Diceros bicornis minor: one gene and its partners. The protein of the gene in region 3 interacts with the protein of the main gene of each other region in a pairwise test. Links are inferred from orthologs where the notes say so. Each region holds a gene or a part of one and is shown on either strand. Other genes may lie near its edges. The genes, in order: RASSF5, EWSR1, SMAD4 and ATF7IP.

Region 1 (7,595 bases), on a different chromosome or scaffold from region 3:
AGTCTGTCTTAGTCTGGAAGGCATAGCTTTCAGCATCACAGCAACCACCACGGTGTGACAATCGACAGATGAGTGGTGTGGTTCTCTGACTGGGAAACGAACCCAGGCAGCAGCAGTGAGAGCGCTGGATCTTAACCACTAGACCACCAGGGCTGGCTTCCCCTTGTGTAGTGTGCGCTATATAACTAGTTCTGGCCAGTGAGTTGTGAGCAGAAGTGACTGGAACTTTGAAATGCTGATGAAGGGTCCTCCAGGCCCTCTGGGTTTCCCTCTGGCATGGTGACTGGCAACATTAGACGTGGTGGCTCCATCAGCCTGGGTCCCTGGGTGGCATTGATGAACAGTCTCCCTGCCAACTGGCAAAGGGCACATAATGTGAGTGAGAAAGAAGTCTCTGGTTTAAAGGCACTGAGATTTGGGGTTGTTTATGACCACAGAGTACGCTCACCTGCCCTGACAGGTCCAGAGATCCTGTGCAGGCAGCAGTGCTGTCAGAGTCACCGGGAGGGCCCTAAATGCTTCGGGGATTTCAGGCGACTTCAAATGCCTCAAAGCCAAACAAAACCAAAAACTTCCCCTTCAGAAAGTCAGGCCACATTCTGTCCTTCCCTTTTCCTTCCTACTAGGAAGCTCAGTGGGAGTTGTGGGACAGCCTTGAAACAACTTGCCCAATACGAACACACCCTGGGACCACCTCTGCAGTGACTTCACATGCTGACCACACACTCAAAATAAAAACAGCACACCCACTCTTCTGGGAGTGAGTCACAAACAGAAAAAAGTCCACGCTCTGAGCCAAGGGGATCTGCTAACATGGGGGAAAGCTTCTAGTGGAGATGTCTCAGCTCATGCTGGGGTCTCACCCTTGTAGCCCGCAAGACCAAAGACCCATCCTAACAATTCTGAAGTTCAAGCATCGTACACTATCCCAGATACTGTCCCGACTCTACAATGAGACTAGAGTTTATTTAGTACTTCTTCCCTGGGGAAGGAGGAATGACTTGCATATGTGTGTGTGTGTGCGTGCACGCACAAGCACAGGCGTGCATGTATGTGTGTGTATTGTGGGAGGGGATGCTGTTTCAGGGAAGAAGGAGACTAGGCTGGGAAAGATGGCATCAGAGGAGGCAAGTCCCAGGCAGGGAGCCTCCCGTTGGGGTTCAGGGGAGGCAACTACTTCCCCGACCTCAATTTCCTGGCTCAGGGAGATGAACCCTAAGATAAACTTCATACACTTTTTGGATTGGTTACATGAAGTTACGTTATCTCCATTTTCATCTCTGTTCCCATCCCAGACGCCAAATGTAGGGCTCTGACCCTGCCTGGTCTCCTCCCCCATTCAGTGCTGGGAACAGCCACCACCACTCCTCCAGATCGGAGCTGCAGCAGGAAAAAAAGACCAGAGTGTTTTCTGGACAGTTCAGAACCTGGGCAAGGGTTTATGTCTGACTATTCCAGATAGTCCCCACTTTCCCAGGGCCCGAGGAGACACTCTTCCCATGAGCCTCTCCATCCAGGGAATCTGGGCTGGGCAGCCCATAATCATGCTTGGGGGTGGGGAGGTGGAGGGCAAAGATGTGATTGTTGGCAATTATTTCACCAATGGCACTTTAAAACCGGCCTTCCAGTGGTGAACTCTTTGCCAGGTCTCCTCTTCTTCTTGCCACACTAAGCTGTCACCCAGAACTTAAGCTGGGTCCACACCCTGGACCTCACCCAGTCCAATGCCCTCCCAGGAGGGAGTGATCTCCTCCAGACGTGTCTCAAGCCTGTGGAGAGGGGTGGATAGCAGAGGGTGGATACCAGCAAATATTTCCATGCAATGCAGGTTCTGCAACAAGCCCAAGAGAACTGCTTGCAGAAAAAATAGGAGAGAGAGAAATGAGAGACCACAAAGGCAAACTGCACTTTCCTTTGTAAACATTCAGCAGAAAGCATTCAGAAACAGCCCCCTCCACCAAGTTTTCCTCAGTCACGTCCCACTGGACCTCACCTACCCCGTGGAGAAAAGAACAGGGAGGCCCATTCTGTTATCACCACGTTAGATCTAGAGCAGTTGGGGCTTGGACCAGCATCATCAACATCACTTGGGAACTTGTTAAAAATGCAAAATCTCAAACCCCAGCCCCAGACACACCAACTCAGAAACTCAGGTGGTGGAGCCCACTAATCTGGGATTGAAGGAGCCCTCCAGGTGAGTGGTACACAACAAAGTTTGAAAACCACTGATGTAGAGAGAAGTTCAGACCGGAGAGGAAGGGTGGAGGAGGGAGCAGAGGGGTGGCTGGTGGCTCACAGGTCCCCATCCCAACTCCTTCTGCTCTGTCGCACTGCAGGGCTGGCTGCTGTGGGCATTCTTCTCCTCTGCCCAGAAACCACCTCATGAGCTGGGAAGCTCCAGACTCTGGTGAGAGCTGGGGACGCAACATGTCCTCTGCTACAAATGCGGTGGCAGAGGCCTCTAGGAAGATCCCTACCAGGAGGGAGAAGCCATGGACCAGAGCAGGCTGGGAATTCCCCAGCCACCAGACTAGAAATGTTAGGAATTATTGAAAAATTACCTCCAAGGGGGAAAATAAAAAGCAAAAGTGAAGATTGCCCTTGCAGACAGTAGGGGGAGACCCATCTTAGGCCGGGAAGAGGAGGGAGAGCCTCAGATCTGGAAGAATTGAGACATTTCCAAAGTTGGTTGCTGAGACCTCTGCTAGATCAACCAAACCAAACCCCAAGCGTTAAGAGGACGGCAGTGATCACTGAGTCAGAGTGGTGGGACTGGAGGAGACTGCGAGAGCATGTCCCTGTCTCCTCACTCCTGGATCAATGTATAGTTGAGAACTGCAGAGGCTAGAGAGGGCCCAGAGTCATCCAGCTGGTCTGCGTCAGGACACGGAGGTACAAAGACCCGGGAGCCCGGGAGGCGCCTGCTTCCCATCATGAGACGGGGCTGTCTCCATGGGCAAATGTGCTGGTCAGGGCCGGCTACATAACGTGCGGGACCAAGTGCAAAAACAAATGCCGTGCCCTTTGTTCCAAAATTATTGAGACTTTCAAGACGGTGACAGCAGGGCACTAAACTGCGGGGAGGGGTTCATGAAGTCTGCCCTGGTGCTGGTAGAAAACGGATCTCTCTTTGGATCTCACAGGTGAACTGTTCACACCAGATGCAATGTACGGCTTTGGGGGGACCGGTGTTTCCACAGGAATCACCAGAGCAGCTGTGGTGAGAGGAGGGTTTGACTTAGTTGGAAAATCTTTCCCAATCCATGGGGCGCTGGAGCGTTCTCACAATCCAGGATCCACGATCACCATAACCCCAGTCTTCCGAGAAGGGAATATCCTACCGGGCAGGGCTGCTGAGAGGGGAAATCCAGCAAGAATGAAAGTCGCACACGGACAGCCTCGCCCGCGGCGGAGGCGGCTTCTCGCGGCGGCACGAGAAGCGCCCCCGCGCTCGGGTCCCTCCTGGTCACGGGACTCGGCGCCGCGGCGGGAGCGCGAGCGGAAGCGGGGCGTTCGCGACCCACGGCGGGGTCGGCTCGCCGGCGGCTGCGGGCGGCGAGGGGGCGGGAGGAGGAGCAAAGGAGCGTGTCCCTCCCGTCCGCGTGAACCCCGGAGGGTGGCGGGCGGACATCCAGCCCGTGGGCCTCTCCTCACATCCCATCCTCAGCCGGCTCCTGAGCCCTTGCCTCTGCCCTGCTCCCTCCCCTGGGCGTGTTGGGGTGCGGGTGGCGGGGGGATCTGCGGTGGGGGAAGTGATGGGAGAGGGAAAGAGGCAGGGCTGAGGGTAGACGTCCCCTCCAGAAATGCCTCTTTTGAGTTGTACTATAGAGCCTTCCCATACGAAATCCTTCAGCTGCCCCAGTTGTCCAGGCGCTTCTGAAGACGCCCCTAAATCCACACTCGCTCAGTACCCCCCCGCCCCCTCCCCCGCCAACCCTGCGCTCGGTGGGGTGGTTCCCTCGGGTCGTCCTTCCTGCCTCTCCGAAGTCTCCCCGCCCCCGCCCCGCCCCGCAGGCTGCGGCCCCTTTAAAGGCGCGCTGGGCGGGCGGCACTGCTCTCGAGGCTGACTCGGGAGGAGCGCCACCGCCGGGAGCTGCCGCCGCCGCCAGCCGGGCATGGCCATGGCGTCCCCGGCCATCGGGCAGCGCCCGTACCGGCTACTCTTGGACCCAGAACCGCCGCGCTATCTGCAGAGCCTGAGCGGCCCCGAGCCGCCGCCGCCGCCGCCGCGGCCCCCCGGCCGGTCCTCGCGCCGCTGCGCCCCCGCGCCCCTCTCCGCTGCGCCCGGGGCGCACGAGGGGCGCGGCGCCCGGAGGGCTGCCCGGGGCGACCTGGAGTCCCAACTCCGGGCCTCCCGACCCGCTCGCCCTCTGCGGCCTGGTCTGCAGCAGAGACTGCGGCGGCGGCCGGGAGCGCCCCGGCCCCGCGACGTGCGGAGCATCTTCGAGCAGCCGCAGGATCCCCGCGTCCCGGCGGAGCGAGGCGAGGGGCACTGCTTCGCTGAATTGGCGCTGCGGAGCGGCCGGGGCTGGTGTGACCTGTGCGGACGAGAGGTGCTGCGGCAGGCGCTGCGCTGCGCTAGTGAGTGTGCGGGCCAGGCAGGGGAGCGGAGGGGCGCGCGGGAGGACCGCAGTCCGCGGGCGAGGAACTGCGAGGGGCTGGGGCAGGACAGCGGGCGCATCGCCCTCTCTGGCTCCAGGGGAACTTGGACTTGAACGAAGGGAGGTAAGCCCTGGGGACACTCTGCTCCTTAGTCCCCTGCCCAGTATCCTCTAGTGACTGCCTACTCCCCGGGTATGGTCATGCGGTATTTAACAAACACCTCTTCCCCTGACAGGTGCACGCCTCGCCCTTCCCCAGACACACACGTACACACACACACACACACACACACACGCACACACACGTGTGCGCGCACAGATTGGGGTTGATGGCAGCAGGGCAAGGTCATTCCATTGTCCCCTGCGCACCCTCCTGCTTTTGTTGTAGGTTCTTGAGAGTGGGTTGTGAGACTGGTATTGAGATGGCCTTTTGACCCGTGGCAAAAAATGGCTTCTTTGTCTGTCTATGGTGCAGCCCCACAGTACACGGACACTTATGGTATACCCTTTCTCCAGGGCGACCTGTTGGGATAGGGAGGAGACCTGGTTGGGCTTTAGATGGAAACGGCTATGAGGCTGAAGAGAGCCTGAGGTCACCCTGGACCTGTGCCCCTCCTGCCTTCTGCCTCTGGCCCCTCAAACCTTTGGACTCTGCTCTAACGTTTGGCTGTGTCCTGAGCTGGCCTCCTCTTCCTCCTCCTCGGTTACTGCACCAGTCAGTCATCATGCTCTGAAATTACCTAACTCCTGCCGGGTCCCTTCTCCCCCAGAGCTCTCAGGCCCCTCTAGCCGCCTCCTGAGCCAGGCTCTTCTCAAAGACTGACTAGAAAACACTGGGCACCCAGTGTGTAAATTTTCTGAGCAAATGTGCGGTCTTCTTGGAGGTGCATTATTTTTCTCTTCCTACAGTTAGGTGTGAGTGTTCTTTAATGGGTGCCCCACCTACCCGCCCTATCTGCTCCTGCCATGTTTGGCAGAGGGTATCCATCCCCATGTGTTTATGTGTTTATATAGGTATTTTAAATATCTGAAGCACAAAGCACAGACAATGGCACAACCTCTAACAAGGGTCTCTGGAAATGGGTTGTGGTTTGCATCTTTTGGCAAAAGCCCTTCCCCTGTGAGCACAGCCTCACACTCCCATCGGACTGCAGCACCGGACAGCAGCAGCTACTTCCACCTCAGGAAAACCCTGCCTTGCCTCTCTCTGCAGTCCACAGCCGAGGCAGCGTGCCTCTACTGCAGCTGGCCGCAGGGGAGGAGAGCTCAGACTCTAAGCCAGGATCAAGTGGAAAGGGAAGGTTGGAGGGGAAAGTGGGTGCTGCTTCCTCCAACCCTGGAACTCACAGTTCAGGTGCTAATTAAAAAGGAAAGAGCAAAAGTTATAGAGATATATGTGTTATGGGTGGTGCTCTGCTGTTACTTGATAAATGCCCCTGACCTTACAGTAGAATCTAATGCAACGTGCCCATGGACATGTTGGCAACTTTTGCCCTCTCAAGGGTCTTGGGGTACTTTCCTGCATCCACCAACCCTATATTCATAGAGACAGGCAGGATCCTCACTGTAATGGGTTTTATTGTGCTGGAATCCCAGGAAATCCGCTTCGTTGGAATTCTAGTCTATTCGGATGTTTGGGGGCTGTATCAATTGTTGAACATTTTGCACAGAGTTTTATGATTTGTTTTTTTGTTGCGATAATGGTGTATTTGTGTGTGTTTGTATGTGCATATGTGTGATACTCCATGATTAAATGAAGTTATGCTCACTTCACATTAGAATTTATTTCCTTTGGTTAGTTTATAGTTTCTGGTGGCAGGAAGACCCAGGTACATGGGCAGTTTGTCTGACTTTGTGTGAGACTTGGTGAAGTCTCTTCGTTTTCCTGGGCTCCTGTGGCCCTCACGCAGTTGGCTTAATACCAACCAGGGATGTCTGAACACCAGAGAGGAGCAAAGCTGGAATCAACGGGCTATGGAGAGGAGTCTCTGTCATTATTAATGTTTAACTAATTGTGGACCTGTGGCTGGCTGGGGGCAGTTGAGAAATGTTCTGATGTGCAGATGAGGGCTGGCGGGTGGGGACACAGCAGGCCAAGCTCACGGAGCATCTTTCTTTAAGTCGAACAACTAATTCTGTGATGGGGTTGGTTTGTTTTATCTTTTGAAAAGCAAGCGTCAGAAATATGACTTTTAAAAGGCAGTACTGTGCAGTGATTAAGAGAACGGACTGAAACCAGAAGACCTGGGTTTGAATCCTGATTCTGCCACTTAGTCTCTGTGTGACCCTGGGCATCTCTGTGTTCCACTTCTTTGTTTTAAAAAATGGGGATAATAACATTACCTACTGCATCACGTTAATGCGAGAATTAAATCAATTAGCGTATGTAGAGTGCTCAGAACAGTGCCTGGCAAAATGCAATATGAATGCTTAATGTAATGTGAGTGTTATTATTGTCCTTGCCCATCCAACAGGTGTAACAATTTGTCTGGGCTCATGACACTTCCGAGGATCACCTTTCCATGCAGTGATACAGTTTTCAGACTCTGCCTGGTTGCTGAGCCAAGTGGGGAAGTGAGTGCCATGAGCATCCCAGGAAGGTATTAATTGTCCTCTAGAAATGCCATTCCTGCCTGCTGGCTGAGGAGTGTCCTCACAGAATGGCAGTGGCTTAGAGGTCACCAAGACATTGATGCCTTGTCTTTGTGTCAGTTGCCCCCAGCAAAGTGTGAGGCACAGAGCACAGTCTCAATAAGTGGTGGTTGATGAAGGTGGTGGCTTGTTTATTCTATTAAATCTCCCTGCTCTTGGGAACAAGCAGAAGGGCAGTGGGCATGTGAGTGACATCTGCCTGAGCCAGGAGGCTGACACTGGGTGGGAGCCGTGTTGGCAAAGTGGGCTTTTAGTAAGGGAAGCGTTCAGAAAACTGTCTTCCCACTGTCTGCCTGCCTTTTTCGTGAAACTGTCTCTAACTTAAGCTTACCCTACTTCAAG
Region 2 (7,929 bases), on a different chromosome or scaffold from region 3:
ATTTAATCTTTCTGGGAATAAACTGGTTTTAGGTAACACCATCTTCTTAAAACTCAAAGTGATTTCAACTTAAAAAAAAAAAATAAAATCACAAATTTTCTTTCCCTCTCTTCTCTAAGTATACCTTTCTATAATTTTCCTTTTCATATGAAATTTACAACATGCACAGAAAGGGACTAAAAACTGTGGTCCGGTGAGGTGTCTAAGAGTAGTGAAAACAAACAGAAAATAAAATGGTTATGAAGTTTTCACAGCACTACTGAATTAAGCTTACATTTAAAGGAGTTAAAATAATTATTTTTAAAAATTCTACCTAATTCTTTGCTCTCCACAAGAAATACATATCTTATTCTGTTAGAAAACAGTACTGCCAATAGGGCTGAACAAAAGGCTCCTTTCTTTTCCAACCAGAAAGTAGTCCCTCATCTGAAAGCAACAGTTGACATCTCAGCTCTTCATGGTGGGGTTTCTACCTCAACTCCATCCTGCCTCACAGTCCACCTGGCCTCAGAGCATTTTCCTGAATCCATCTTTTCAAGTTGGCTCATCTTTCTACCTCTCTACACCTCACTTGACTACTTTCCTTCCTCTGTACACATCTTTAACGCAGAACCCTGAATCATTAACATGATCAAATCAAATGCCCAAAGGCTATGTATAATGAACAAACTGATTTTTCCAAGATGACCCTAAGACATTTTAAGGTTAAAACTTAAGGCATTTTCAATAGCACTACAAGTTATGCTCTCTGTGGCATATAAAAAGTAAATACAAATCACTTCTTCCATGTGGTATTCACAAACACACCAGTGAGGCATCAAAAATCAAAATATTTCAACCTACATTTTGCTGAGGTTTCTACGTGAGAAATGATTCTAAATCACTGACATGTAAGTTCAATGTTTGCAAGAAGACTTTTACACAAGAAGAGTTATGTAAAACATAAAGTTGGCAAAGCTGATGTGGAACAGCGAATGATCTCCGATGTGTGTGTGAAATCAGCAGATTTAGCCCCACATTGTTCGGCTAAGTGAGGTAGCAAATTTGTTTCATGAGAACTTATGTTATCAACCTACTGCACATAAACACTATTATACCGCCTTAAAAACGTTCCAGTTACACACTGGTCAGATTATTTAGCCATCAGTTATGTTTTGCTTTTAACCTCCAAACTTGCAGCTGAAGATTTCACTAAAAATAACAGGCCAGGTTGAGGAGAGAGGGGCTGTGATCCAGGGGGGCCTCTAGAGTGCTGGCAGTGTCCTATTTCCGGGTCTGAAAGGTGGTTACTTGGGAGTTTGCACTGTAATTCTCTGTTAAACCAGACACACTTTAGGTACTTCTCTATATATGATATACATAAGTAGGAAAAACATGGAGCATTATCCAAGGTAGTGGCTTTTAGATACTTTAGGGCAGTCAGTATCCAAACTGCAGAGATTTAGAGCTTCATACCACATAATAAGCTAAAGTCAGTATGGGGGAAGTTTGTGGGAGCCCAAATGCTTTGCTGTAAAGACAGAAATTAAGGGCTTAAAAAGCTCTTAAAACATCTAGCCTAACTCCTCCATTTCAAAGGAAAGGAAACCAAAGTCCAGATAAATTGCGGGACTCTCCAAAGGTTCCCCAGCCAGGCCTACTGCTGGGTGTCTACATAAACCACAACTGTAATTCTAACACAGTACCTGGTGGTTACCAGTAAAGAGAGTTTGAGCAAAATAGACCAAAAAATTGGCACGTCCAGCCACACAAAAATTTCAACATACACATTCTGACTCCCCCTTACATAATTCAAACACTGCAGGGAAGAGGAAGGTGGAAAGGCCTCTAAGGAAACCACTTCCCACCAGGATGTGTATTGGACTGTGGTATTCCAGAGTCCTCTCTTCTAGGGGCACTCTGTACCCTGGCACTAACAGCCAGCATTTACTTGCCTGTTTACTGACCACACAGTTCGGGAAGAGTTCTTAAACTGTCCCTAAGTTCCTGGAGTCTTGAACCTTTTCGAATTAAAACTCTGAAGGACCCAGAGCTTCTCCTGTCTTATCTCGTCTTCTCCCACTGCCTCTAGGGCCTGGAATTAGGCCCTCTAAGAACACCCCCGGAGGCAATAATGCCCCATCCTACCAATAACCACAGCTTAGCCCTAGAACAAACCGCAGGTGATGTGGAGGCTACACTCTCAAACGCTCTGTGCAGCAAGAACCACCCTAGACATCACGCCCGAGCTCCCACCCCGAGCTTTCTTTCCAAGCCCACTGTGTGCCTCCTTTCCCTCTTTTCTATCAGTCCACGAAATAAACAAGCCTGTCGGCTTAACATATGAGAATAAACGTGCGAGACGATTGCTCGAGCACAACTCAAACGCCGACTCGGGCCTTTTGTTTCTCCTAGGTCAAAGAGACCAGAAATTTCTTTTGGGAGGGATTTCTGGCCTCGCGATTCGGGCTGACCTTATACAACAGATCTCCCTCGGCGTCTACTGAAAAATGATCCTAGGAGACTACTTAATTACTTTTGAGGGAGGGAAGAGATGGGATTAATAACTATAATAAACGGAGAAGCCCAGGGGGCAGCTGATGGGGAGGCTCTAAAGGGGGAGCACATTCCCTCTAAAGCCCATGCGGGCAGAAAAGTTCGGCTCGGGGCTAGAACCCGCCAAAGGGGCAGCTCGGCGGCACCGTACGCCCCAGCCGACCCGGCCATCAGGATGACGGGGCTCCCGCTCATCGGTCGGCGCCCCTCGGCCCACGGACCCGCGATGCCTTTTTTGTTGATATGCTTCCCCCTACTCGGGCTTCTCACTGAGGCAGACTCGCCTTCCAGCTCGAACCGCCTCCCTGGAAATGGGGGTGGGGAGGGTCAGAGTGGCAGCCCCAGAGCCGCCGTTGGCCCCCCGCCTCCGGTTTCGGGGCGCCAGGCTCCAGGCTTGGCCGAGCCTCTCCCCCCACGCGGGGCCCGGGAGGCCGCAGGCCCCGCCCACGTGGCGGGCGGCCCGGAGCGCGGGACCCGACGGCCGCCACACAATAGAGACCACCGCGAGCCCCGCGCGCCCCCGCCGCCGCGAGCCCCCCGCGCGCCGGGGGCGCCAGAAGGTTCCAGAACCGGCCTGCTCGGTGGGGGGAGGGGAGGGGAACGCGGGCCCTCGAGCTCGTCGGGCCGCGGCGGGTACCTCACACGCTTCTCAGCAACTCCACTTAGTTGCCCCGGCCACCCCCAGAGACGAGCGGCCCCCGATTTGGGCGACCCAGCCGTCGCCGGCGCGACCGCAGCTCCACCACACTCACCCGTGGACGCCATTTTCTCTCCTTCCTTCTCGTTCTCTCAACGTCCGTCTCCCTCTCGCTTTCCCTTTAGGCGCCGCACTGCGCAGGCGCGAAACCCGCAACCTCGGGCGCTACCATGGGGCCAGGCCACGGGGGTGGGGGAAGGAGGGATGAACCACAGCTTTCTGGTCCTTCCCGCCCGCAACTCTTGTGCTATTCCTCTCTAAAGAGCGCCGGACGTGACGCGCGGGCCAAAATAGCACCAAAGGGGCCGGAGCGGCCGGTGAGCGTGTCTTGGTATCAAGCCGGAGTGATTCTCCGCACGAGGCTAAGTCGTACGGAATGGTTACGTCCGCTGGCTCTAGGGACCGTCTCTGAAGAGTCTGCCTTGGAGGGAAACGGAGGCCGGCGGGAGGGTTGGGGGAAGGGACCCGGGCCTAGAACAACTGCTGACTAATCGGCGGGCGGCGGCGGAGGGGGTGGTGCGCCGGCCGGTCGGCAGAGGTCACGCGCCCGACTGCGAACAAAATGGGCTCCGGGCGCTCGCGCCGTGGCGGGAAGTTAGAGTCCCGACTCCCAGGCGGGAGCCCCCCGCGGGCTTCCGGGGGCGGGGGGCGCGCTCCGCAGTGAGTAACTCCGACACGTGGCCCAGGCCGGCGGGGGAGGGGGCTGAGGCCGGTGGGCTGGATGGGAGGCCCCGAATGTGGTGCCCGGCCCGAGAGCCGCCCCCCCCTCCCCGGTAACGGTCGAGGTTGAGAAGGCCCTTTAATATCCCCCATCCAAAACTCTTGTTTTTACAGAAGGGGAAACTGAGGTCCAGGGAATTTGGGTACTTTTCCTAAAGTCACAAAGCTGAGTCTGACCTACACCTTGGGACCCCCATTCTCTTCATCACCCGGAAGACTCTTACCCGTCTTTATCTTCCCATTCTGTCCTCCTGGCTTCTCAGTAAGGTAGGCAGGGCCTGATGGTGCACAGCCCCATTTTATAGATGAAGAGACTGAGGCCCGGAGGACTCAAGTCCTAGTTCTGTTAGTCTATGGGCAAGTCCTTAACTCTTGCTGAGGTACCCAGGGAGGGATGGTTGTGAGGGTGCAAAAGCAGGCTGGCAGTGGGTGCCATAGCTCCGGACAAGGCTGGCACCTGTCTGCCTTCCTGGACTCAACCCAGTCTCCCCAGGCAGGTTCCCAGGCCCAGGGAAGTGCAGAGCTCACCCAAACCCCTCAGTGGGACCTGGAGCAAAGCTAGTGGCTTTATTTCAGTCAACACATATAGAGCACCAGCTATGTGCTGGGAGCACCCGGGGGAACTGGGGGATGAGTAAGAGCACCCCTTTTCCCCAGCTCAGACCACCTGTCTAAGGAGAAAGGCCAAGCTGTGCTCATTAGATAGGCTAAGATCCATGATGTGGGGGGCCAGAGGAGGGGAAGGGGACATTTGAGCTGGGCTTCAAAGCGTGAATAGGAGTTTGCCTATTGGCGAGATGGAGGCAAGGACATTGCAGGCAGAGGAGCTTTCTGCATTTTTCCTGCAGGAAACTGGCAGGTGGGTTTTGATGCTGAGGATGCCCTTAAGCAAGGGAGCAGGTGAGGCAGCCTTTGGGTCTCTGTGGGATTTTGCTTCCTGCCCTATGAAATCAGCTCCGTGGGAGTCCTGAGGCAGGCCTGGCCAGGGGTGAGGGGGGTTCCAGCAGGGCCTGGAGGACAGGCTAGATGTGAGGGAAGAGAACAAGGAAGAAAAACCCTTGCCTTGTGGGCAGGGAATTGGCATGTTTGAGGGCCAGAGCTTGAAACAGCTAGGCAGGAGCAGTTGCCTCTATGTTGAGGCCTCCTCTTGGTGGGCCAGCTGCTGGCTATATCTGCCTCCCACAATTAGGCGGATGGCTGCAGTTCATTGAGCAGGGTCTGTGGGCCCGGCCCTGCATTATCCCATTCCTTTTTCTCATCCTATAAGGAAAGGATTTTCTTAATCCCCATTTTACAGATGAGGAAGGAGAGGCTCAGAGGCTGGAAAACTTGCCCAGGGATGCACAGCAGGAAGAAGTGGAGTGGATACTAAAACCTTCCTGTGAGAAGAGGGGCTAGGGCTGGAGGGGCTGTGCTCAGGACTCACGAAGGGGATGTGTCAGTCCGGTGTCATTTTGTATGCACTCAGGGTGAGGGACTCCTGTTGCCCCTCCTCCACCCAGTCTGTCCCGCCTCCTCCCTAATCTGCCTGCCCATTGGCTGGCCTCACCTCCTCCCTTAAGTGCAGCTGGGGCCATCTGGAGCCCTAAGGCTGAGCCCGGTGGAGGGGAGGAGGGAGGAAGGTGGCTGGTCCACAACCAGAGGGAAGAGGGAAGCAGAGGAAAGCTGGAGATGGCCCTGAGTTTGCCATGGGGGGCTCCACCCCTCTTTTTGGGAGTCCAGGGCCCCCGTTAAACTTCCCTGGCCCTGTGCCTCCCACCCCAGACTCCTCCTTAGGGCCCATCAGGGCTCAGGGCCCTTTTGGCCTGGCCCCTCCCCGTCTTCACACATAGGCAGATGGGATGGCAAAATGGCTAGGAACGTGGTTAGGATCCGAGCTCCTCCATGGCCAAGTTGCTGGGCCTGCCTCTCCAGCCTTAGTTTCTACTTCTGTAAAATGGAGCCGCTGGTAGGGTGGTTGAAAGGAAATCAAAGAAAAGCTGCAGAAATAACTTATTGTTTTCCTTTGCCTCTAGCACACACCCCGAAGACCACCCTTGACCACCTTCAGCCCAGCTATGCCTGCCAGAGGCCCCCCTGGCCTACTGTCACCAGCGCTGCCTCTCGCCTCCTCGGTCCTGATGCTGCTCATGAGCAGCTTGTGGCTGGTGGGGGCTGGCCCCAGCCTTGCCCTAGCCCCAGAGCTGCTGCTGGACCCTTGGCAAGGTGAGGGCTGGCCACATGGGCCTTGGAGGAGGCAGGAGACTTGCTGTAGGGCCTGAGACCAGTTGGCAGGAGTGGTGTGCCCTGGGGAAGGTCAGCCTTGGACGGGAGCATGCCCAGCTCATTCACAGCCAAGAAGGGAAAGCAGAGGGGCCAGCAGAGGGGTGGGAGCCTGTGGGTAGGAATTCTTTTCAGATGACTTCCCTTTTTGATGACTTTTGCTGGAAATAAGAACTAAGGCTTTCAGCTAAGCATGAGAGTGGGGAGGAGGTGCTGGGGGTTCGAGGAGTGACCCCAGCTGAGTGCCTGTTTCCCAGTAATAACAGCAGCTTCTATTTACATTTGAGGAACCCAGCTAATGCTCACAGAGGTTAAGTGACTCGTGCACAGTTGGTTGCTTTTGAGAAGACTGAGCGTTGGGTCCGGCTTGTTCTGTTTAATACAGCAGGGGAGCAGTCACAGTGTTTGAAGGTCCTTGGTCCTGGTCCCCTGCATGCATGATTAAAGTGCTGGCAATGGGCAGACTTTGACTCCTGGAGAGGGGAGGCTGGCTTAGCAGGTGGCCCTTGCAGCGTAATTTCCAACCTGGAACACCTGGGACAGCCTTGGGGGTTAGGGCCACTAACCTGGCACATAAACCCCTTCTCTCCCCCAGTGCACCGGCTGCTGACCCATGCCCTGGGCCACACGGCCCTACCCGGCCTGCTCCTGAGCCTGCTGCTCCTGCCTACACTGGGCTGGCAGCAGGAGTGCCACCTGGGCACACTGCGGTTCCTGCATGCCTCTGCCCTGCTCGCCCTGGCCACCGGGCTAATGGCCGTGCTGCTGGCAGGCCTCGGGGTGTCCAGTGCAGCCGGTGGCTGCGGATACATGCCTGTCCACTTGGCCATGCTGGCGGGGCAGGGTTGTCACCCTAGACGGCCCCATGGGGCACTGCCACCGCGGCTGCTGCCATGGCTGCTGCTCGCCCTGACGCCGCTGCTCAGCTCCGAGCCACCCTTCCTACAGCTCTTCTGCGGCCTCCTTGCTGGCCTGGCCTGTATCTTTTGCCTGGGCCGAGGGCCCATGCGGACATGTGGGTTCTGTGGCTGGGCCCCCAGGGTGCCTGGAAAGGAAGTGGCACAAGGAGGTAGCCCCAACAATGCTGGGAACCTGTGCACACACATTCTGGGGGCTCGTGGCCGGGTGGAGGTGCCGAAGTGGCCCAAAGAAGCACCTAACCTGGACTTCCTCAGTGGAGGCAGCATCTACACTGAGATGTGCAGGATGAGGAGTTCAGGTGAAGAGAAGTGGAAAAGGAGAGAGTGGGCCAGGCAGAGGGCACAGAAAGGTCAAAGGCCAGGGGTGAGAGTGAGCCTGGGGCTGTCTGGGCACTGAACGGAGGTGCCGCCTCTGGCTGGTGGTGCAGGTGTGTTCAACACAGGCTCTTGCTCCAAAGATACTTAGTGCCTGGCAAGGAAAACAGTGCAGTTGGAGAGAACAGTGGGCACAGGCTGACCCCCTGTAGGCATTTAAGACTGGGGATGCCAGCTGCCCAGGCCTGGTTGAATCCTGGAGCATGGGCAGCATCTTTCCCTGGCTGAGGGCAATAGGGGATATGTCACTGGGCCCAAGAGTTGGCCTCAAGTCACAGACCTGAGCACGCCACAGGGCTCTGGGAACAGAACGGGGCAGGGGGTGGCTGAAACGGGATGAGACAGCTTTTGGGGTGAGGCATATCTGGCCCCACCTCTTACAGGCAGAGCAGCTTCGGGCAGGTCCCTTTTCCTCTCTGA
Region 3 (8,534 bases):
GCCACATTTCCCATCACCAAAATTACACATTTTAGAATAGAAAAAAAATCCAAAAATTCTAAATCTGACTGACTATCAAGTATGTTTTGGCATATTACGATGCAAAAAGCATCATACTGAAAGTTGCTCAAATGAATATCTAGACATATTTGTCAACTGAATTTCTCTTTTGAAAACAATAGAATCTTCATCAACTGTTGAGCAAAAAGCCCAAAATTTGATAATTTAACAAAATTGTATTAAATTCTGTGCTATGCTTATCTAACTTCTTTAACATTCATTTAGTGTAGAAAATAATGAAATCCATAAAATAGTTTTAGTCAGGTTGGTTTTATACATGATTAAGCAACACCTCAGAGTCACCGTTAATCATCACTTAAGCAAAACAAAAATTTCTAACTACACAATCTTCTAGGAAAAAAACAAAAAAGGAAATCCAAACATGTACAATGAGCACTGAAATGGTGCTAACATAAGATGTTTAAAGAACCATTCACTCTAAAATCACTGAAAGAAAAATGAAAAAAAGTTAGGCATGAGCTAGAGGCGGATAAAATAGAACTGAAATAAGTAAAGTTTAAACATAAGAAAAATAAAGTATGCTTCACCAGAATAGGCAAAATTTTAGATAAGACTAAATATGCATTTTATATGTAATGCATGAGACAGATCCTGTAGGGTTAACTGCCCCAGTAGAGGCCTCAGCAATTCACAGCTCAATTAGAATAGTGTCTAATGATGTTACTATAACACTGGCTCAATCAGAAAAAACAGCTTCCAAACTGGAGAGCTGGAGTGTGACTGGGCAGCATAAACTAGTTTTTAATACTTGCTCTTTAATTTGAGAGAAAAAAAAATCTGAAGGGCAACGAAGAAAAAGAATTCACACAAATGGAGAAACAGCTCAACTAAAATGTAGCTTAAGAAAGTGAAGCGCTGGTTTTTAGAAATAAGACTTGCTGCTTCCCAGGATAAGCAGAATTGCTTCAAGAAGCAAAGCCATCAGAAAAGGTCCATGGTCCACATATAACTTATTCCCAAAAATTTCTAAGTGACTTTCTCAGCACAAATTTTCATTAAATCTGAAACTAATTGCAGTTGTTTTCTAAGCTCAAGGTTTACAAGGAAGGCACTTAGCTAAACAGAGAAATTTCTACTTAGGCAGTCCCACTTCAAAAACAAAAAAAATTAAGATGCAATACCTCTTTAAAGTAACCTCACCCAAAAACCTGGAAAGCAAAGAAAAAGCCACTTCTATTAATAGACTCACAAAATGTTATATCAATTTTCTCTAGAAAGGCTTTTAGTTTTAATTCCAACAACTTAAACCTACATAATTCATCACCACCTTTAGACCTAAAGATACTCCAAATCTTAAATCCTTGGCCTGCCTGTATTACATTTGTGCTATAACAAACCCACTTAAAAAAACAAAATCATGACGACGTTATAGAAGAAACATTAATAAGAAATCAGATTTTAAAATGTTAATTATATCAATCATTTACAACTTGAAATATCATGTACTAACCATATTAGAACTTTCCAAAAGAGAAAATAAATCCTTAGCAGGAAAAAAAAAAAGTTACACACGTTAGAACTTCCCACGCTACATTTCAACTGAAATACAGTCTCAGTACAACACGGTAAAAGCAATTTATGAAATCTGCAATTAAAATTATTCAAATGCAACGTTCTAAACCTAATTACTTTATGAAAATAAGCATTTCTGTATTTTCTATTAACACTAAATGCCTTCTTCCAGCAAAAAGTACTGAACCTGCTTTTGAAACACCCGAATAATCAAATGGCTACTGACACTAAAAGGATGCTAATTCTGGCAAAAGTCAAAGTTTGTCAAGTTGTTTGCCAACAAAAATTGGCCAAGATTACATGCCTTCAGAAAGTCAATACAGACTAATTAAAATGATTCCCCATTACCTTATATGTATTATTCCTAAATAACTGGTAGTTTCACCTAAAACTATGGTGCAACAGCTAAAGGCATTATAAAACTAAACTCAAAATAAATTAATTAGAAATATATTCATTTAAAAAAATTTTACTTGGCTTTTCAGGGGGAAACTAGCTACCAATTTTCAATAGGGTTGTTTAAAACCTCTCTATACCCGCAAAGAAATCTTTCAAGTTAACAAAACACACCCATTTCTTTGAAAATCTAGCTTGAGAAACCATAACAGCAGTTTGGGGAATGTGATGGAGCCACCGCCCTCCACCCTACACCAATCTCACTCAGTACTTGTAGTCCTAGCAATAAGATAAACTATGTCTTCTCTTTTTTATTAGGGGCGGGGTGGGGGGTGGTCAGTTAGGTGCTAAGAATGTTTCCTGCATACTGCCATCACCCACAATACTCAAAATGTAAGTAAACAAATCAAAGCCAGAAACATACACGGGAATGACACAACCAGGAAGAGAAAGTAAGGGACAAAGAGAAAACAAAAATTTGCTTGAGAAAAGAAATCAAGACCAACCATCTATAACTTTCCTCTAGACCTAAGGCAATACGCTCCAGCCGCCCCGCCGCGCTCGGCCGGGAGGACGGGGAAACTACTCCAGAACAACAAAGAGGAGCGGCGGCCGCAGCGGGAGTCCCCGTCCCAGTTCAACTTGATTCTGCGACAAACTGCGAGGGGAGTTCGGGGCCCGAGGGCCGGCCCCGAGCCCGCGGGACGCGAGGCACCGCGGCCCAGCGCGACCCGCCGGCCCGGCTCGTCAGGCGGCCGCGCTCGCTCTCCGGGCGGACCCGCCGGCCTCCCGCGCGCTCCCCGCCGCCGGGAGCCCGCCCCGGGGCGGGGAAGCCGCGGGTGGGGTGCGCGGGCCCGCCGGGGGAAGGGGAGGGGACATGGCGAGTTACCTGGGCTCGGGCGATGGCGAGGGGAGTCCGCTCTCCCGCCGCGGCTCGTCCGCGGGGCGCCGGGCCCGTCGCTCCGCCGGCGGCCCGGAGCGCTCCTCGGCCCCCGCCCCGAGGCGTCCGGGCCAGGCCGCCCCTCCTCGGGGCCGCGCCGCTGCCCGCGCGGGCCGGGCCGCCTCGAGCTCCCGGGCCGCCCCGCGGCGGGGGGCCTCTCTCGCGGGGCGCCCGGCTCCCCTCACCCGCTCCCGCCCCCTGGACGGCCGCGGAGCCGAGGGGAGGGCGGGAAGGGCCTCCCGAGGAGAGCGGGCGGGCGCGAACGCGGGCTCCGCCACCCGAGCCGCTCCGTTACCGCAGCGGCGACGACGACCAGGGCCGTGTTGTTGCTGCCAACTTGTCGAAAGGACACTGAGCATGCGCGCGCGGAGACCACATCCGGGTAATTTCAGGGTTTGGCCCTTTTTCCCCGCAGCTTTCCTTTCTCCCGGCTGCCCCCGCCTCCCGCCCCTAGTGACGGGTGGATAGCTCTGCGCAGGCGCCTGCGGGGCACCACCAGTCGGCGGGCTGCCCGGAGTCCTAGCCTGGGCTGAGGCCCTGGCTGAGCGCGCTGCCGCGCAATGGTGCGGGGGGGGGGGGGGGGTTGTTTGCAGGGAGTGGTCATCAGAGAAATTGGCATCCCTCTCCAAAAAAGTGCAAAGTGCCCAAGCATCGCTGGAGAGCTCGGCGTATAGTGGCATCCAGTAAGTGTTTATAAATAGCGATCAGGCGGGTCTTGTTTTTTGAGGACCTGCGTGGGCTTAAGTATTAGACTTTAACCGCTAGCCCTGGGGAGACGGTGCTGTAGCGGTGTACTTTGGGAAGAAACTGGCGATCACCGCACCATCCTTCCCTTTCCACTAGCCCTGGATCACTAGATCCAAAAGTATCTACACTAAAGAGACTCCCTCTTTTGGGTTAAAGACGTGCACAGTAGAGTCAAGGAATCACACATTTGAGAGCTTGGCCAGATCTTAGGAAAAGTGAGTGGTTCTTGTTGGAAGAGATTTAGGCGGAACCTCAGAGTTGAAGGGACCTTCGAGGACCTACTACACACCTGTTAACTAGGTTACCTGTTGGGTAAGGAAAGGCATAAACTGTGCTTTTGACTTTATACTTCTTTTCTTTGAAAACTTTACAAGATGCATGCATTTCTTTTACATTTAAAAAGTTTCAGAAAACATGTACTAGTTATATATTATTTTTCACCAATCAGGATATAGTTCCGTTGGAGATCTCACCAAGACTAATTATTGGAAAGTTCTAAAGTCATTTCTTAAGTCTTGTAGCCCAGAAACTCTCTAGTCCCCCTCCTACTTTTCACACACAGTGCCCCGCCCCCTAGCCCCATGCTGCCCTCACCATCATAGCCTGGGCTCTTCCCCCTTCTACCAGAAAGCCTCTAAACTATCATATTCACTTATGTTCCCTTACCCCTGGGGTTCATGAAGACCTTCCAAAACTAGTTTTAAGGGAATTCATTTCCAGATCTTCCACCGCTATATGTACTATTTTCTAAAATTGCTCAGCTTGGGAAAGCACCTGAGGACACAGCATTCTCTTTCAAAACTGTCCTTCTCCCACCTTACAAAAAAAGTCAACACTCACACCCATTACTAAGGTGTATCGACCCAAGATGTAAAAACCTCCACGGCAATTCAAAGGGACAATTCAAAAATTGGTGTCTGTGCTGAGAAAGTGAATGACCCAAATGAATGAGTTATAAGTTCTTTTGCAAGTCAGCTGGTTTCCAGTTCTTTGCTATCAACAAAATTGAGGGCCAGCCCCGTGGCTTAGCGGTTAAGTGCGCGCGCTCTGCTACTGGCAGCCCGGGTTCAGAACCCCGGGCGTGCACTGACGCACCGCTTGTCCAGCCATGCTGAGGCCGCGTCCCACATACAGCAACTAGAAGGATGTGTAGCTATGACATACAACTATCTACTGGGGCTTTGGGGGAAAAATAAATAAATAAAATTATAAAAAAAAAAAATTGAAAGAAGATCTAACCAGGTGATTTGATAATAGATCAACATGTGATTCTTAGGCCATATACCCCAGAAGGAGTTATAAGAATTAAGTAACACTGCTATAACTAAACTTCTTCCATTCCCATCTGTATTAATCTGTTGTATATAACAATATTACCACAAATTTAACAGCTTAAAACAACACACATTTATTGGCTCACAGTTTCTATGGGTCAGGAGTCTAGGCATGGCTTAGCTGGGTCCTCTGCAAGATCACAGAGTGAAACTTGACTGGGAAAGGATCCACTTCCAAGCTCACATGGTTGTTGGCAGCATTCAGTTCCCTGCAGACTGCAGGACTGAGGGCCCTAATCCCTTGCTGGCTGTCGGCTGGAGTCCCCCTCAGTTCGTTGACATGTGGCCCTCTCCATAGGGAAGCTTACAATATGGCAGCTTGCTTCTTCAAAGCCAGCAAGGGGGAGAGCCTCAGTGCAAGACCCTAGTTACAGTCTTATGTAACATAAGCACGTACATGTAATCACATACATCCTGTCACCTTTGCCATACTCTTGGCCAGAAGCAAATCACAAGTCCCACCCCCGCTCAAAGGAAGGACACCACACAAGGGCATGAACACCAGGAGGCAGGAATAATATGGAGCTACATTAGAGTGTGTCCACCACACCATGTATTTATTTATGCAAATGAAAATCCCTTTAAACTCAACTCCCTCAGAATTTCTCTTCAGTTTCCCTTCACCTTCTTGCTTAAGGAAAACGTGACTTTCCCCGGGACACTGCTTCCCTTTCCCCCTTTCAAGTAGTGGCAGCTATGTTTTCAACCATAAGCCTCTTCAACTGTGCCTGGAGGTGGGGTAGGTGTCCTCCTTGCTCCTTGACATTGCTTCCAGACCATCCTCCTCTCCCCTTCCTTTTAACCTGCAGCTTTGTGTGTTTGTGTGTGAGGAAGACTGGCTCTGAGCTAACATCTGTGCCCATCTTCCTCTATTTTGTATGTGGGATGCCGCCACAGCATGGCTTGATGAGCAGTGTGTAGTTCGTGCCCAGAACCCGAACCTGCGATCCCCGAGCCACCAAAGCGGAGCACATGAACTTAACCACTATGCCACCAGGCCGGCCCCTAACCTGCAGCTTTAAATCTTGTTATCCAGTAATCCTCATCGTTGCTCTCATTCCCCTTCATTTTTTCACTGTTTGCTCCTATCAGTCACTCCAATACCACTTCTGTCTTAATTCTAGGTGCTTATAATATATACTTAGATGATCTTCCCAATACCCTGACCTCTCAGTTCCTTGACTTCTCCTCCAAAGATCTTGTCCTACCCTAACTCAGCCACTCACTCTCATGGGCATAATTACAGGAGCCTTATCAAACTTGGCAACTTCATTATAATCACAATGTCAAACATCTCACATGGTGAACACCACCTCATATTTCCATATTTCCTTGTAGTACTCTGACTCCAGCAATTCTTCAACCTACGTATCCGCTCTCTCCCATCCTTAACTCAGCTTAAACCCCTGGCCAATCATTACAATCATTCTCTTGCACATACCCTCAGTCTGCTTACTCCCCTCCCTCTTTGTTGTGCTTGCTGGACAAAACCACAATTCTGATTCAAGCCAGCTCTCCACCTACTCCACGCCAGTACCGCTGCATCTGAATGTGGCTAGAGAAAAACACAATTACACTGACTAGTTTCACTTTAATTTTATCACTGTGAACCTCAAGTGAGCCCTTAGTGCTGCCCAGGAATCCTACTTCCCTCCTCCATTCTTCTGGATTTCATACCTTCTCTGTCTTCTAACCTACACCTCCTTCCCTCTTATCCTCATTTTCAGTTAATAACCTTGCTTTCTATTTCATTGAGAAAATTGAAGCAATGAGACAAAAACTTCCACAGAATCCTCTTCTTCACCTTCCCCTCCGTTACATAGTTGAATTTTCCATGCTCCTAGCTAAAGCCAGTCCCTCTGCTAAGGCAATAGATCCCAATCTCATCTTGCCTAATCAAGATCATCAGCATCACTCCAGCAATTATCTCCCCTCTTCTATACTATCAGTGTTTCCCTCTCTACTGGGTGATTCCCATAAGCTTATAAGCAGCTATTATTTCTCCAATCCTACAAAAATCTTCTTTTTGACCCAATTCCACTGTCAGCCACTGCCCCATTTCTCTGCTTCGTTTGCAACAAAACTTCCAAACGAGTTTTCTATACTTTTTGTCTCTAGTTCTCCTCCCATTCTGCAGCAGCAGAATACATACCATCTGATACAATTTATATAAAGTTCAAAAACACTCCAAATATGATGTGTATGTAAGACTACATACATATGTAATAGAATCATAACAACACACACAATGTTATATCTTTGGCATATTTTAGGTCTTCAGCTGAGAGGGTCTCCCACGGTCTCTTTTTTATTATTATTATTTATTTATTCCCCCCCCCCCAAAGCCCCAGTAGATAGTTGTATATCATAGCTGCACATCCTTCTAGTTGCTGTATGTGGGACACGGCCTCAGCATGGCCAGAGAAGCGGTGCGTCGATGCGCGCCCGGGATCCGAACCCGGGCCGCCTGCAGTGGAGCGCACACACTTAACCGCTAAGCCACGGGGCCGGCCCCCTAGAATTGATTCTTAATCTTATTTCATTCTGGCAAAAATATTCTACACTTTAATTTTAATAGTTTATCAAAATTTGTAATATCTTATGTTGTTTAGATCAATGAGGTATTCAAAATTGTATCGATGATAAAATCAAGATGAGTTTTTTAAACTTAGAAACTCAGTCAAAAGATTTTTTAAAAATTTTTATAGGGAAATATGATAGGCTGATTGATAAAAGACTTTCCAGTCTAAAATCTTACATTAAAATGTTCCAGGGGCAAGTTGAAAGGAAATACAAGATAAGTAGAAAAAGAGTGATGTAAAATTTCTTTTAAAGAAAAGCTTGTTCATGTATCTTTTAAATGGATGGTAGATGCATTATGATATTTACATTCCCTTGGATACACTTAAAGAATGATGTAACAATCTTATTTTAAAATTCCAATACTTATAATATGCCAGAAATAACAAACTTTGTCATCATTTAAATTTAAGATGAAACATTTTAGATCTGACCGTTAAAAGTACAAGAAGAAACATAGTTTCTAAAATTTCTTTAGGAGGTAAGCAAGCAAGAAGTGTTAAAGACCACAGTCCCAGAGCACTTCAGTGGAGCTAAGCTACCACTTTTCCTGAGACTTCTCCAGGAGAAACATCTCAATTCTCACAACCATCTCTGACCTTAGCAGGCAAAGGCTTTGAAAGCTTTCTTTCCCTTTTACTTTCGTTGATGGCTCTACCTCCTGTGAAGCAGAGCTTCCCATGGGTGAGGAGAATGCAGAGCTTTAACCTCTTCATCCCAGAGGTGGAGACAGAGAGCTGTCACCTCCAGCACTGCCCACCTAGGAAGGAATAGAGTAATATGTTAACATGGAAATGACCTAGCAATTGACAGCTCCAGGCACAGGTTAGCATCAAGACATTTTAGACTTAACCCAATATTCTTAAAAGTAATCCAAGTTGCCTTTGAAAATCACTTAACATTGATTAACCTGAAAACATTCCTTAAGGCACCATAGTAAACTC
Region 4 (7,814 bases), on a different chromosome or scaffold from region 3:
GAAACAAGAGTCAGAAAATAGAATGAGTTGGCCAACATAAGAGAAAGGCAGCAAAAACAGGATTCAAATTTAAGTTTGAACTCTTGGTCAATGTTCTTCCCACTACCTCAACATTTCCCTTAAAGACTTATGCTAATGAAATGGCTTATGAAAAAGGGTAAACAAATGGGAAAGAACAAGTGACAAAATAATAACATAAAATCTCGATTATCTAGCTCCCAGATTTATTATGCCCTCAGTTATTCAGCACAACAGCTAACCCGGAATTCAGCATAGAAAATTTGAAAACTGCCACCAATCTCAAAAGTAATGATCTCGGGGAGGTCCAGCTTATGCTTATAGTTGCAAAACTGCAACATGGCACTGAAAGAATTAGCAATAATATCCTGAGTAACCACAGAGTCTTGGTGTTTCCCCATGTACAAGAAATAATCAGTGGAGTCATCTTGTGAAGGGTGGAGGTAAATTTTATAGTCCGTAATAGAAGGCAGAAAGAGTGGATCATTAAAATTTCCCTGAGGTCCTACTCTGAAGATTAACATAAATTGATCAATAATTTCAACCTAGCCAGTTTTTCTCCAGCAATAAAGAATATGAAACCAAGTAGCTGGTTTGAATTGTATGAAATTTTTGAAATCCAGTGAACTGTTCATACTATGAGAGGCATGAAAATAAGAGTGATTAAGCACATTCACTTTACTATGTCTTACTCACTCCAGGGCACAACCTTATTGAAAGGAATGATGGATAGAATCTCTCACACATAATGAATTCAGTCTTCTTTTTCTCTTTTAGGGTCAAGCTCTTCCGGCTGGATTTACATGAAGTAATGTTCTGTTTATGAGAATCCACTGTATCACATAAAATAGTCCTAACAACTTTACAAAGTAATAAGTTAATGAAAGTGAGATAAGCATGCTAAAGCTGTTGATGAAACTGAGCTAGTGATGCCAAATATATTTTAGGCCACTGAACAAATGAACAATTATTTTATTTAAAAAAAAAACAACTAAGAACAAATATAAACACAATTTTGTGGAAGGCAGCAATTTTAAACCGTTAAATTGTATAAACATAGGTCTCACGCTCTACCTTCATGAAAATCAAAAAAGAACATAAAGAATATACGTTCTAGAATACTTTTCAAACCGAATTCCACAGTCCCTTAGCGCTTGGAGTTCTACAAATAAGCGACCTAGATCCTGACACTAATATAAGATTATAATTGTCATATATGATCTGATTTCAAAGTTTTGTTTTAATCATAACAGCCTAATTATTCTCATTTTATTAAATAAACTTATAATAAGTAAATGTTATAAATGTACATTATAAAATAATTACACAACAATAAAATACCACATGTAGCCCTTTTATCTACTGGGGTCCTTCATAAGAATTTAATGTGCAAAAAGTTGTTGTCTTTTAAAAGTTGCTATAATTAGAATAAAGTTCAAAACTTACTGTTCTATGTCATATTAGTCAGGGATATATTCATAATACTCTATTGACAAAGCTAGAGGAATGTATTATACCATTTAGAAAAAATTTTAATAAGTACTGTGATTTAAACATTAGTGCTTGAAGTATAACTGTTCTGCTATCTGAAATATTATGCAAATATGAATTTCATTCTCCTACCTTTCTGGGTCACTATGGACTTACAATATCTCAATAAACGTTTCTACTTCAGAACAATGTTAGGAAATCTTTTCGAGAATTTTGAAATTAAATTTACAAAATCATTGAGTTATATTACTTTTAAATATACCACAGGTTTAAACTAAGACTAAAATAGACATCAATAATTAATAACACTTAGTTAACTAAAACAACTCAGTATTTACCTCAGCTCTGTTGCATTAGAATACACTAGCTATAAAGAAAAGGGGTGTCCAGACCTAGAAGATGTGAACTTATTTCTAAATTCAAAATCTGAATCCAAATGCCACTTTTAAGGAAAAAGTAACTAGGATAATAAGTTAGCACCATTAAAAATGTGAAAGAATTGGATGGCCGGGAGGAGGCAGCATAATGAGAAAGAACTGGAACCTATAGTACAAAAAAAAGTCTAACGTTGTTAAAAAATTTTTTTCTTTCTCTAACTATGAGAGAATTATCTAACTATCCAGAGAATTAACATTCTTTCCAGAAAGCTACCAAACAATATCTCCAAACTACATGCACACAAAAACCCAGGAAAATCGCATTCTTTGTGCAAAACAAGGCTTATTTATGGCTTCTCTTTAAAAAATCTATTCAGATAATATATTGTTTTTAATTGCTACAAATGAATATCAAGCAAACTAAAATATCCAACACAAAAGGAATATTAAGTTAATTACAGCCAGAAAAGCACTACTGTGGTGATCAAATGTTCTGGCAATGACCGAACATAAGATGGTGAGATATTACAGGAATTTAACCTTTGACCTCACCAACCTATGTACTGTTTCCATAACAGAGGCTTAAAGGTTCCATCAGCAAACATTTCAACTTCTTAGCAAGCAAGCCCTAAGTTTATCTTTCTATATAAACTCAGTAAAATTACAATGTTTTTTAATTAAAATATTCAAAGATAAAGAGTAATTGGTTCTTACCTCTGGTCCTGATGCATGTGACAAGTCTCCTCACTGGCATAGTTGCTGCCTAAGCAGCTACAAAGACTAGGTTAGCAGCCATTTTGAGACAGCTGCACTGTCTCAGTTGCACTAAAGTGTAATTAAGATGGCTGCAATGTGCACTCAAGAACTCACACAGTGAAAACTCAGCTATGAATCAAACAAAGCCCCTCCCACTTTTTCAGCCTGCAGGAAACTGAACATAGACAACAGCTAATGCATATACTGCAACAAACAATGCAGCTACTCAGGACAGAGAAAACAGAGAAGGCAGCAAGCCAGTTTTGTAACATAATGCCTGTGAAACCCGACTTGCAGTACAGACTTTGGGCACATCCAGATCCCAGACAGCTTGAAGTCCACGCCACATATTAGCAGTTACAGAGATAGAGCCAAATCACACACAGCAAACATCAGGGAATTCGCTTGAAAGAAAGCCTCCATTTCAGTCCAGAAAAAAAAGTCAAACCCTGCTCAAGGCCCCCTTTTTAAAAAATCTTTTATAGTACTTTTATCATGAAAAGAGCACCAATTTTTTCAATTTCTGGAAAATTAAGATGTTTAAATCCTGATAGTCAATTTCCACTTATAGAAGGCTAATTAAAGATTTTCCCCACAGAATCTAAACCCCAAAGTGCTCAAATCCAACAGAATGGTTAAAGCTTGCAATCAAATTTTTGAATCTTGACAATAATTTTAAATAACTGCTGGTGAGGGACCAGAGTCATTACAGCTATGATGGCAACAAAGGTTATTTTGAGTAATCTGCCATAAAAAGAAAAATAATCTCTTCTCTTCTGTAGTCCAGATGGTCAGACATTTCCAGGTGAGTGTTTGGTCCCAGGGCAAATTAAATTTCATGCCCTGCCACAGACCTCCCAGCATTTTGATATGAGAAAAAGCAAATAAAGAATGTAGACACCCCTGGGGAAAAAACAAATAAAGAGACCAAAAGGGTAAAATTCAGTCTGAAAGTGGGTATATTAACAAGACAAATTTGAGAGAGATCCCTACAAATTTGTCTTGGCAGTAACCTAGCCATCAAGAGAAGTGAAGAACAAAAGCACAGAAAGAATCTGTTTGCTTGATAATTCACATCAGCTATTCACCTTTTCCTTCTCTCTTCCTTGGTTTACCTTCCTAAAATTTAGCTGCCCTGGGCTTTCTTGTTTCTATCCACCACTAGATGTAGGTATTTATTAAAACAATTGTTAAGGGTGTAAGGGGTAATAGGGGTATAACTAAAAGGAGATTGGCCCCATAAGTTGATAATTGTTCAAGCTGAGTAATGGGCACATGGAGTTCATTATTTCATTCTATTTCTGTATACATTTGAAATTTTCCATAATAAATATTAAAAAAAAAAACTACTCAGCTTTTAAAAGGTCCTTATTTATTCTCCATGAGGCAAATTGGATAGTGTATATAAAAACTGCTTTAGGTCCTGTGTCAGGAAACAAAAAATGTTATACCTGATCCAAGCCACATTAATTCTTCAAAAACTGTGATTCTCTGAGGGTGGCTCAAATCTAATCGGTAAAAGCAAGACCTTGGTAAGATTCGAACAGAACAGACATTTCTGTAGCACTGGAATGTGAGTACGGTTAACAGGGGACAAATAGCCAAAACATTTAGAGCTGCCTGATGAACAGCTTCTGATATTCAGGAAGCAGATTCTTTTGGAAGACTGTTCCACCAAGATTTAAATTATGTAACGCACCGTCAAATGCACAAAGCACCCCCTCAACCTTTAAGCCTCCCTGGTCTTGCCAAATACCTTTCCAATGTAAATCCTGACTACTTTTTTCTCAGTCTAAGCTTTCCTGGGCAAGCTAAGCTGCTGGCTACTATTACTGGCTATAACAGCTACTTTTCACCCAATTTAGATTTCAAAATAAGAGACACAATCTAAGTTTCATCATTATACCAATCGTCCTCCAGCCACTACAATCCTTTCACTACTGATTTACTAGATTTTCTCTATTATCCCAAGGCACATTAAGTCAAATCAATAAATATGTTAATTGTCTACTTCATGCAAGGGAATTTAAAAGACAAAGGAGTAGGGAGGTACATTAATATGGATCAAGCCTTCAGATAAGTTTTATATACATTATCTCAATTAATTCTCACACTAACCCTACAAGATAGGTTTTTCTCCAATTCGTGACCAAGGAAACAAGCTCAGAGATTAAATAACTTCACCAAAGTGCTAAGAGCTGCATACATCCTAGACTACACTCAGCCCGAGCCTGTGGAACTTTGTCCATCCCTTTCCACATTGGTTCTGTTTCTGTGCATCATGGAAATAGTTTAGGAAAGGAAAATGGTTAGGCTGTCATTCAGAAAACTGGTGCCACCACCACCATGTTTCACTTTATAGCCCAAAGAAAATATCTTGGTTCACCCGATAAATCCTATTCTTGATTCAACCTAAATTTTATCACTGACAATCCTTTCCTTACTCTCCTTTCTCCTTATTATGCCCATCCCCCAAACCAGGTGTAATTGCTCTTTTATGCATACCATCATTATACTTAACAAATTTCATTACCTATATCTTTATATATAAGTTCCTAATGGACAGAAACTATATCTTAATTCATTAACCACTCACTTCTATAGTGTGAAACACAATATTTATTTGCTCAATAGTGAGTTGAAATTAATTCCCAGTGTTTTCATTTCTACCACAAAAATCTTAGAAAATTCTATATCTTTAAGAACTTCATTTTTAGATCTCAACTCTTACTTTCTAGGAAGAAGAAGTCGTCAACTAATAAGTCAATTAAGTTTTTAGTCTTGGCCTAAAAAAGCTCTGCACTTCAAAACCCAAGATGGAAAAAATACCTTTTGTAGAGTATTTTTCAGTTTTTAGAGTGTTTTCATAGGCACTACACAGGAGGTACTATGTGCTCAGAACAGTTGAACTCTGAAGAAAAACTAGAGAAAATTATAGAACATAAGTATGTCATTTACTTTTAAATTTTTTAATATTACTAAGAAAGAATATAGCTTGATTATATAATATGATAGATTATAAGAAATTTGTTTTAGATAGGAGCAGTCTAATAAACCCAATCATCATTTATACGTAAAAGCAAACACATTTGGAAGCTATTTCTAATATTAGGCAAATATTTCCAGGATTACCCAATGTTTTATCTCTTCCTAAATAAAAACTAGCACTTTTCGCATAATTTTTTCATTCGCTCTTACAATGACTATGTAAAATAAGAATGCTATAATCTCAAATATTTATGACCAGAGAATGTAATAATTTGCCAGGAGTCACACAAGTAGTAGTGAAAAAGAACTAGAAGAGAATGAACTCTAGTCAACTACTATACTTTTTATATATCCTATATCACACTATTAGAAAACTTTGCATAGGCAAAATATTTTAAAATTCCATAGAACCTAAATAAAAGGTTTCATTGTATTGGGGAGAAAGTAAATATATTTTTCATCTATTTAGTTAATACTTTAATTATACAAGTTATTATCAACATTATACATATTAAAAGAGAAAGGGAACATTAGAAGGATATTAAGATGGTAAACTTAAAACACCTAATTTCACGTCCTCAAATCCCATTAAAACTACAGTAAAGATATTTTTTTAAGCCATAAATCCTCAAGAATAGGGAGAAAAGTAAAAGAAACAATAGCTACAAAGATTTAGGGAGCTGGAAAACAAGTAGAACCACTGGTAACTAACTTAGCAGTTCCTCAAACACCATATTCCAAGTCACACTGGGGACAAGTTAAGAACCAATTTGATTTACATGGCAGCAGTTTCAAAAGATACAGAAACTAGAAGAACTAGCCACCTTTGGAAATTGGAGTGAGGGGAACAAATAGTAGGGCAGTGCAATTAAAAAAGGGACTAATGAAAGTTGTTTGTGAAGCAATAATATACCCTAGGTGCCCTCACCAAACACATTCTACTGAATACCTGCTCATCCCAATCCTCGCAAAAGTCTGAAGACAACATCCACAGTTAAAAATGAGAGTACATACCAAAAAGAGTGGGATTGAGTGCTGACTGCAGAGACTCCTAGCCCTCTTCCTCCATTAATCTCCCAGAATGCTAGCAATCAAACTCTTATTCTCCATGTATGAAAATGGAAGGCTATTCTCTGAGAGTATCGAACAAACACAAGACAAAAGACCTTAAGGTCTTGGGAGCTCTCCAAAAATGGGCTACCCAGATCAGCCTACAGTGAAATTCAAAACTGACAAATTTAGACATTCTAATCAACTTTTTAATCTTCCACAACATATTATACAGTCAGGCAAGGAAGAGGAAAGGAACTAAGAAAAGTCTAACATGGAAGATAGAGTTCAAAACACAACAAAAAAAGCAATAGACTATCAGGAATAAAACTTCAAAAAAATATTAATATCCACAGATAAGAAAAGATGTTGCATTCATGTGTCAAGAACAGAATACTATAGGCAAGGAATGAAAAATAGAAATTAAGAACATGATAGAAAAAAAATGAAAAACTCAATAGAAGGTCTGGATGACAAAGCTGAAGAAATGTACCTGAGCAAAAAGACAAAGTTGTAAATAGGAGGCAAAACATAAGAAAATTGGAGTACCCATCCAAAAATTCACATTGGAATGACAGAATGACTAAAGAAAGATATCACCAATGAAATCACTTAAGAAAAACTTTCAGAACTGAAAGGCAGGAGTTGCCAGACTGAAAGGGCCCCGTGAATGCCAGCAAACAATGATAAACATACCCACTTCAAGGAACTACAGTGAAATTTCAGAACACTGGAGCTAATAACAGATTCTACAAGCTTCCATTGAGGAGAAAGTCAGAAATAAGAATGGCTTCAGATTTCTCAGTAGTAACAGAAGCAAGAAGATCTTGGAGCAGTGCCTTTATTCTAAAGAAAAATAATTTCCAACCTAGATTTCTATACCTAGCCAAACTATCAATCAAGCATAAAAATATAGAATGACAATTTTCGGACACACATGGTCTCAAAAAATATGCCTCTCACACACTCTTTCTCAAAAAGCCACTAGAGAATATGATCTCCTCCCCCTAATGACAGAATAAGTCAATAAAAAGACATGACACATGGAAAACAAGGGTCCTACACAGAAGAGGGGTGAAGGAAATCCTCACAATGATGAATAAAATTCTAAGGATGACACTGGTGTACCAGACA

Evidence for each region.
Region 1: the proteins of SMAD4 (region 3) and RASSF5 interact in binary tests that used the Homo sapiens proteins (3 or more experiments, as listed by UniProt). The link is inferred for Diceros bicornis minor from reciprocal best matches to the Homo sapiens genes SMAD4 and RASSF5.
Region 2: the proteins of SMAD4 (region 3) and EWSR1 interact in binary tests that used the Homo sapiens proteins (3 or more experiments, as listed by UniProt). The link is inferred for Diceros bicornis minor from reciprocal best matches to the Homo sapiens genes SMAD4 and EWSR1.
Region 4: the proteins of SMAD4 (region 3) and ATF7IP interact in a two-hybrid assay, tested with the Homo sapiens proteins (2 studies listed by BioGRID and IntAct). The link is inferred for Diceros bicornis minor from reciprocal best matches to the Homo sapiens genes SMAD4 and ATF7IP.

Annotation. Positions count from the first base shown.
Region 1 is NC_080743.1:99,554,213-99,561,807, reverse strand, and holds the start of RASSF5 (ras association domain-containing protein 5), read left to right. Parts: upstream 1-4,110; 5' UTR 4,111-4,115; coding exon 4,116-4,581; intron 4,582-7,595. UniProt on the Homo sapiens protein: Potential tumor suppressor. Seems to be involved in lymphocyte adhesion by linking RAP1A activation upon T-cell receptor or chemokine stimulation to integrin activation.
Region 2 is NC_080774.1:22,947,604-22,955,532, reverse strand, and holds the start of EWSR1 (RNA-binding protein EWS), read right to left. Parts: upstream 3,403-7,929; 5' UTR 3,301-3,402; coding exon 3,288-3,300; intron 1-3,287. Other genes in the region: RHBDD3 (rhomboid domain-containing protein 3), read left to right, coding at 3,403-3,549, 5,968-6,157, 6,810-7,193. UniProt on the Homo sapiens protein: Binds to ssRNA containing the consensus sequence 5'-AGGUAA-3'. Might normally function as a transcriptional repressor. EWS-fusion-proteins (EFPS) may play a role in the tumorigenic process.
Region 3 is NC_080755.1:43,330,406-43,338,939, reverse strand, and holds the start of SMAD4 (mothers against decapentaplegic homolog 4), read right to left. Parts: upstream 3,272-8,534; 5' UTR 2,879-3,271; intron 1-2,878. UniProt on the Homo sapiens protein: In muscle physiology, plays a central role in the balance between atrophy and hypertrophy. When recruited by MSTN, promotes atrophy response via phosphorylated SMAD2/4.
Region 4 is NC_080756.1:46,822,737-46,830,550, forward strand, and holds the start of ATF7IP (activating transcription factor 7-interacting protein 1), read right to left. Parts: upstream 3,539-7,814; 5' UTR 2,618-3,538; coding exon 2,601-2,617; intron 1-2,600. UniProt on the Homo sapiens protein: Recruiter that couples transcriptional factors to general transcription apparatus and thereby modulates transcription regulation and chromatin formation. Can both act as an activator or a repressor depending on the context.